Bombyx mori: one gene and its partner. The protein of the gene in region 1 purifies or fractionates together with the protein of each later gene. This does not show direct contact. Links are inferred from orthologs where the notes say so. Each region holds a gene or a part of one and is shown in the gene's direction. Other genes may lie near its edges.

Region 1 (3,836 bases):
TTTTTTTTATTGTTTAGATGGGTGGACGAGCTCACAGTCCATCTAGTGTTAAGCGGTTATTGGAGCCTATAGACATCTACAACGTTCAGATTGAGTTCTAAGGTCTCAGTATAGTTAGATAGACTTAGAGCTAACTGTAGGGCGTGGTGCCGCAGGTGGACTCTCCGACAGTGACCACAACGCTGAAGAACCTGGGCGCGCTGTACCGGCGCCAGGGCAAGTACGAGGCCGCCGAGACCCTCGAGGACTGCGCCCTTCGGAGCCGGAAAGAGGTACAGCACACTCGACTACCTTCTAGTCAAAAAACGGTGCGCGTGCAACTAGGGGCACGTGAATGAAGTGAAACTTCTTTTTCGATGTGTAGTACCTATTGTGGTTTTCTTCATTTTTCATCCTTAAATCAGATTGGCTCTTGTAATAGGGAATGCTGTGTATAAGAGATGCGACATCTTCAATATTTAAATTTTATATTTATAGAAAAATAAATATATAATATATTTAAATACTTCATTAAAATATTGGGCGCTACTCGTTGCTAACGCTCGCGCTGTAACAGATATACTACGCGCACGCGTTCGAGTGCCACGCATACACTCTCGCTCTGTCTCTTTCAATTCCCCCTCCCAAGGAGCGTTGAACGTTTAACGCAACCTTGTATGAAGTCGCATTAGAAGTTTCACTTCAAAACTACTATTTAAAATAAAACAGAGCACGATACAGTCATTGCGTTTGTAAACAAGGAAAAAATGTATTTAGAGGATTGACTTTAGGTCTAAGGAATGTATTGATTTATTGAGAGGTTTAGCTGAATACGTAATTAGTGGAAAAACACGTTTTGATGGTAACAAAAGAATAGTCTTTTGGAATAGGGTGAATTGAAAGTATAGAAGTCGACCGTGATACAGGTAATCCTCCTATAACGCGGTTTCATTCTAACACGAAAAGAAAAATTCGGTACGATAATTCTAAAACACGATAACGAAATTTTTGTATAAATTATTTAGAGACTAGTGGTAGGACCTCTTGTGAGTCCGCACGGGTAGGTACCACCGCCCTGCCTATTTCTGCCGTGAAGCAGTAATTCGTTTCGGTTTGAAGGGTGGGACAGCCATGTAACTATACTTGAGACGTTACAACTTATATCTCAAGGTGGGTGGCGCATTTACGTTGTAGATGTCCCGTTGTAGAACCACTTAACACCAGGAGGGCTGTGAGCTCGTCCACCCATATAAGCAATAAAAAATAACCGAAATTTTACCGCTTATTTTTTTTAATGTATAATATAATAGGTAAAAAAAATACACTAAAGTATAATTCTAGGGTCGGCAGACTAAAGCACATAAGTCAAAATTTTCAATTTATTTTTTATTACATCATCGGTTTACATTTTGCTCAACACACAATCTGACTAAAGCACATAAATCAAACTCAAGTATTTCATGGCGTATTCAAGCGGCGTTCTGTATCAACCTTATCAAATCCTAATATAGTCAAACGAACTAAAAAACATAACTGGACTTATGTTCTAAGGAACACCATAAGTACAAAGTTATTAACGTAAGAAGTCTGACTTATGTTATAAAGAACATCAAAATGTAACATTTCTTTAGAGAAAGTGGTTACTTAAAAATATTTATAACGTAAACAATACTTCGGTAAGTGGTTTTAATTTACTAATGTTGTCGATTGTGCACAGTTTGTTGGTTAGTTTTGTGTGAGTGCTTAAGTATTTTAATTATTTAAGATGAATATTCAAAGAGGCAAGAAATTAGTTGAAATGGCGTCATCCACTCATCTGGAAAGCAATGAAGGTATATTTTCACATATCTTCAAAATTATGATTTGCAAATTACGTAATTATATCAATATTATATCATTATAAATAGATAATTAATTGTCTTGTCCTTTTTTAGAAAATGTAAATCAACAGTCGATTTTGAACACAGAGTTCTAGTAGAACCTAGTAGTAGACGATCCTATACCGTCGACATCATCAGGTCAAGTCAGTAGCTTAACATACTATTCTGTACTTGACTTCTCTAGTGATGATTCTGTACGAGATCCATGTTATGAATTACCGAGACTTCCAATCACATCAAGTTCAAGTACTTGTGATGAAATTTCAATGAATCCTAATGTGTCTCCAAAAAAGAGTATACGTACTATAAAAAGAGAAAAAAGAATAAAACGTAACTTAGGACAGGCATACAAAACTTTAAAAGGAAAATGTACATCAGATCGCACTATGAATTAAAAAAAATATTTGAGAAAAAGAAAAAAAAAAGCCCGCTGAGTTTGTTTCGCCGGTTCTTCTCAGGACTGTGGCTTTTTTGGAACCGGTGGTAGAGATAACATTGTTATTTATATTTTGACATTCAATAAGTGTGTTATACTGACATCTAAGTTGAAATAAATGATTTTGAATTTGAAAGAGTTACCTGTTTGCAGAATGAAATGTAAAGAACGTATACCATTAACTGATAGGCGTGCCATATTTACAGAATATTGGCAAATGGGGTCATATGCAAAAAGATCTGCATACTTGGCGTCTTTAATGGAAATTCAAAATAAATCTAAGCAAAGAATACGAGCTATTGAACCTGAAAAGCAAAAGCTTAGAATGAAGACATAAAAATACTTTTTTACTGTGCATGGTAAACATGAACCTGTCTGCCGAGGATGTTTAATGAAACCGTTAGATGAAAGTGACAATTTTATAAAGACAGTTGCTATGAAAAGGAGATCATCCATAGGGGGTTCTCAAACTGATGATATAATATCTATACAGCCATTACCCATATCCATCGAGGAAAAAAAAGATTTAATTTCGCTGCTCCCTTTAATACTAGATATTTTCCATGAATTTTACATAAGTCTTCCCACGTTGGAAACTTTACGAAATACTGATCCAGATATTTTAGAACTCGATGAAGAAGAAGAATTTTAATTAAACATTGAGTTGTTATTTATATTTATGACTTATATTATTATAATATATATCTTAATTGTTGATCTTTTTCACTTAACTCATACTATTATTGTGTTCCTTATAACTTAAGTCATCTAATTATTAAATAATCACATTTAATTTAAAATATTTAATTTTAATAATAAGTTAGTGTTATAGACTTATATAATTCAAATAAACATTATTAAGTTTGTTAATGTATAAGATTCTAAATAGTTTTTTTTAATTCCTGTAAAGTAGAGTTTTTTGACTTATGTGCTTTAGTCTGCTGACCCTAGAATTGAGATGTTTCATTATGCACGCTGCCCTATTAGCACGTACCGCAAGTAAGTTAAAAAGCGAACTATACTATTGGAATAGAATTAGTTACCCTTAATGCAGACAGACAATTCTGTTTGGCTTCAAAACTTCAATGTTTCTCGTGCTCATTTATAAATGATTTACAAATCTATACTAATATATAAATCTACAGTGGTTTTACGGATGTTCCATTATAACTACTGAACCGTGCAACCGATTGACTTGAAACTTGGTATCCATGTAGAAAATACATGTACAGTACGACCGACGTAACTTGGCGAGTCTGAATATAGCCGCAGGTCAACTTTCGCGCATGTACACTTGTAAAAAAAAGTGTTATTAGTATTCATTTTTTAAAATCAAAATACGAATTAAAATTTCCATATACAGGGACCAAGTACAAATAAAATGAATATCAAAACACTATGAGAGAGAAAGCTATAAAAATAACGTAATAAATTAAAGAGAGGTAATAAAAAAATAATAAATTAAGACAGAAAGCGGTAAAAATAACGTAATTAAATTAATTCGAAAGTAAGCCCGAACACTGCCTTCAGTTGCGATCCGC
Region 2 (3,836 bases), on another chromosome or scaffold:
ATAAATGGTCATACTCAGTAAAAAATGTTATTATAATTCGCTTTTTTTACTTTCCAAAAGGGCCTCAAATTCTTGTGTGCCCAAGGGCCCCAGCCTAGTTTAAGACGTCCCTGTCGACAGCTTAATAGTTAGTAGCCGCAAGTAAGTAGTACATAGCATTACGAGAGCCGACCTCAGCTCTCGGTCGGAATCAGTACAAGAAAGAAAGAAGAGGAAGAAAGATATTTCAAAATGTTCGAGATCTGCGTATATTTGTTCTTGTGTCGTGTGTATTTCTTTCCTTTACCCGTAACACTTATTTTTATAACTATATGTAATCTTTATATTTATGTATTCTTGATTAATTTATTTATAGGTATATGGGCTCCGTAGAAACTTTAGCCCATAAAGGTACAGGTGTCGTTTGCCAAGCTGTAAAAAAGATTGTCGGTGAATGCAGCACTGAACCTACCATTCAGCCTTGTATTCTTGAAGTATCTGATCAGGGGCTTCGTATGGTTGACCGTTCCAAGCCAGAGGTAAGTATAAGACATACTTAAAGTCTGTACGTTATATTTCATTCGTAATCCGTGTGTCAAACCAATAACCGTCATTACGTCCTATTTGAAACATAATAATTTAATTTAAAATCGAACTTTTACTAATTATATAATTTTAATGAAATTTAAAACCGCTTTCAACTTCAAAATTAAAAAGTAACAGCTAATACGTATAGAAATGTAAGAAGAATTTCTTAAGTTCAAAAGAATTTCAAAACGATATATTTTAATTACGATAAACATAGCTGCTTGCAAATAACCTTGATAAAAATTATAAATAAACGGACATCTTCAAATGGTTGATTATTTCATATTTTCATCGTAAAATTATCATTCGATTTTAAATGTTCAACTTGTTTGAAGCGGGACTACTCTGATGATAAAACCAAATATTTACAATATTATTCAACACGTGCTAAATGTAAAATTAAAGCGTTTTTTCTTTTAAACACGTCCATCAATTTTGATGTTCTACAGTTCGGTATTCGTAAACAGTCTATAATTCATTCTAACGTCTATCGTAATAAAAATTTTGAAACTTGTATTTGTTATTACAAGAAAAGAATTATTAAGGAACAAACGCGTGTGTTTATGTGAGACAAATAATAATGCTTCATACATACATTACTATGCTTTTACGTCTGTAACGTTAAAAGAGAAGGTTTGGATTTCTTCAGATGAAGGTTTACTATATGATATTTTAGTTTTTAATCTCTACTTATTCAGCAGTTTACATAAATATGTACACTTTTCAATATCAATTTCATATTTCAGTAAATTAAACTCAACAATTTCGAAGCAACACTTTTTCATGATCATACAAACCGGTGATTTCAGTATTACATTTTTTATGGCAAACAAGTGAAAACATTCTCGTCGAGGAAACATAGATTACGAGTTAAATACGAACGAATCTATTTTTCACCTTGCCAATCATTCTGATGAGTTAAAACACATGCTCTGGGATTTATTTCACATTGCTGATAAATAGCATCTCATAATGAATAACATACCATACTATAAATTACATTAGATACTAAAGGTAAACTAAAAAATTCAACTGAAAAGTACACATTCCAGTTTATGCTAGCTTCCCAAATTAAATTTCCGTTTCAAGAATTGTGAATATCTACTTATTAGCTATCGTTATTGCCTGTTTTTTTTTCATTGTATTCTCATAGTACGCTCTCACGACCCACCAGCTTAAGTGGTTATCGGAAGCCATAGATATCAATCACCTCGTAAATGCCGTCACCTACCTTCACACGTAGGTTCTAAAGTTGCATTTGTATAGTTTAACCGCTATCCCGGTCATGAATCAGAAACCAGTAACTGCTTTGTGGCAAAAACGGACAGACTAGGGGCTCCTACCAGTGCAGCCTGACAATACGTCCGACCGCCAGTAATTTTTTATTCACGTTTGCATACGAATTTTGTAAATTTCTTTAGTAATATGTTACATTACTTTAAATCTCCTAGGGCCAAAAAATATATAAAAAGAAATATTATGTAAAAACTACAACTGTATTTCTGTAGGCTGTGCTGATTTGAAATATCACGTTCCCATATTCAGAAAATCCATTCTGCCATTATTTTCGCTAAATATAGCTCAAGTTGGTTTTACGAAACCAGCGACGGTATAGTCTTCTTATGACTCTGCCCAGCGCACACCACAATCCTGCTTGTTTAATTTGGAATGCCAAATTCGGAAATTTATATTATAAAACCTAATGTAATCTGACTGGACTGGTTTGTTAATTGATTGTTTTCTACTCTTTGTGTACTACAGAGAAATCGCAACGGACCCTGTATCGATTACTTTTACTCGCTGAAGAACGTATCGTTTTGCGCTTTCCATCCTCGAGATCATCGTTACCTGGGTTTCATCACAAAACACCCGACCCTTCAACGATTCGCTTGCCACGTATTTCGAGGACAGGAGTCTACCAGGCCAGTCGCAGAAGCAGTCGGGTAAGACAATGTACATCTTATGTCCTGCTTTAAAAACGAATGTGAGCTAGTAACTAATAAACTCACTCTACAACGCAACAGTTTTTATCAAGAGCAGCATTAAAACTTGAAAACTAGTATAAATATAAAGGTAAAGAAGCCTTTATTAAGAACCTTAATTCATATTTAGGTACATACTATTAATGTAATTTTCCTACACATTTGACACCGGCAAAGGTTATCTTGTATAGTGTTTTTAATATAGGCTTACGAACGACTTTTGCCATTAAAGCTTGCAATAGATAAAATAATAAAATGGCGTTTTAATGCTAATAGAAAGAATCGGGAATTACTACTAGGAAAGGTCGTATAATAGCTCTCGAATGTACGGAGCGTAGTACGAAGTAAAAAGGATGTCTTAAAATAGTTTCAGCAGTAAGAATGCACTCTGCTACTCTGCATTGTCGGTTGGTGCGATGGTAAAAACGGTATTAGTAGCTCAAACGACTGCTCAGAGGACTTCCTGTGGAACTTACTCACAGAACTCCAAGATTTTTCCTTTTTTTTCCCTACCTGTGCTGATAGACTTGAGAGGCTATTTCAGCTTTACCCTAACGTGTAGGTGAGCTGACGGGGCTCAAACCGGAAGTGTTGCTAACACTGGTCCTAGCAAGTGCAGTGTTTCGCAGAATCCACCACCGGATCGGAAACGCGACCCAATTTCTCCGTTGACTAATTAATCAATTAATCAATTTCTGTATTGCTTTTTTTTTTCAGGAGAGCTTTTCAAAGATTTTATCAGAAGTTTATCGAGACAGCGTACCCAATTGAGGACATCTACATAGAATAGGGAATGAACGATAATAATCATCAGTAATTTATTGAAGCTTTTTTGTTGTAGTTATATCACGTCAGGCATGTTTAGTGAATGGTTATTTTATGAATTAACAAATGTCGCAAATTTACGCTGACCCTAATGAGTCAATTGCTTAGTGAAATGTATTGTTCACTTGTATTTAAAGGGTTTTTTCGGTGGTTATTGCATCTCTGGCTTTACTTCAAAGACTTCGAACTTCAAAGAATGAATGTAGTATTTATATAAAATATAATTTGAAAATTAAGTTATCTTCCTAATGTACCGATTTTACGAGATTAAATTGACATAAATTAACAGACCATCCACTACATGCCTGTCACAAAGTATTTGATATTTTCAAAGTCGTTGCTAAGTCGCAAGCCGCCTTCCGAAACTATTAACTTTAATATATTATATTAAGAGAGAGAGAGACAGAAGTACATGACTATTTACAGCAACTCATTTCAGTATTTATATACATACTGCATCTA

The links.
Region 2: the proteins of kinesin light chain (region 1) and JNK-interacting protein 1 purify together in Drosophila melanogaster (affinity purification with western blotting, with the first as the bait; 3 studies listed by BioGRID). This does not show direct contact. The link is inferred for Bombyx mori from reciprocal best matches to the Drosophila melanogaster genes Klc and Aplip1.

The regions. Positions count from the first base shown.
Region 1 is NC_085124.1:2,401,104-2,404,939, reverse strand, and holds part of kinesin light chain, read left to right. Parts: intron 1-155; coding exon 156-272; intron 273-278; exon of another isoform or gene 279-1,655; intron 1,656-2,448; exon of another isoform or gene 2,449-3,836. UniProt on the Drosophila melanogaster protein: Kinesin is a microtubule-associated force-producing protein that may play a role in organelle transport. The light chain may function in coupling of cargo to the heavy chain or in the modulation of its ATPase activity.
Region 2 is NC_085107.1:7,548,216-7,552,051, reverse strand, and holds part of JNK-interacting protein 1, read left to right. Parts: intron 1-355; coding exon 356-518; intron 519-2,328; coding exon 2,329-2,510; intron 2,511-3,266; coding exon 3,267-3,339; 3' UTR 3,340-3,836. UniProt on the Drosophila melanogaster protein: The JNK-interacting protein (JIP) group of scaffold proteins selectively mediates JNK signaling by aggregating specific components of the MAPK cascade to form a functional JNK signaling module.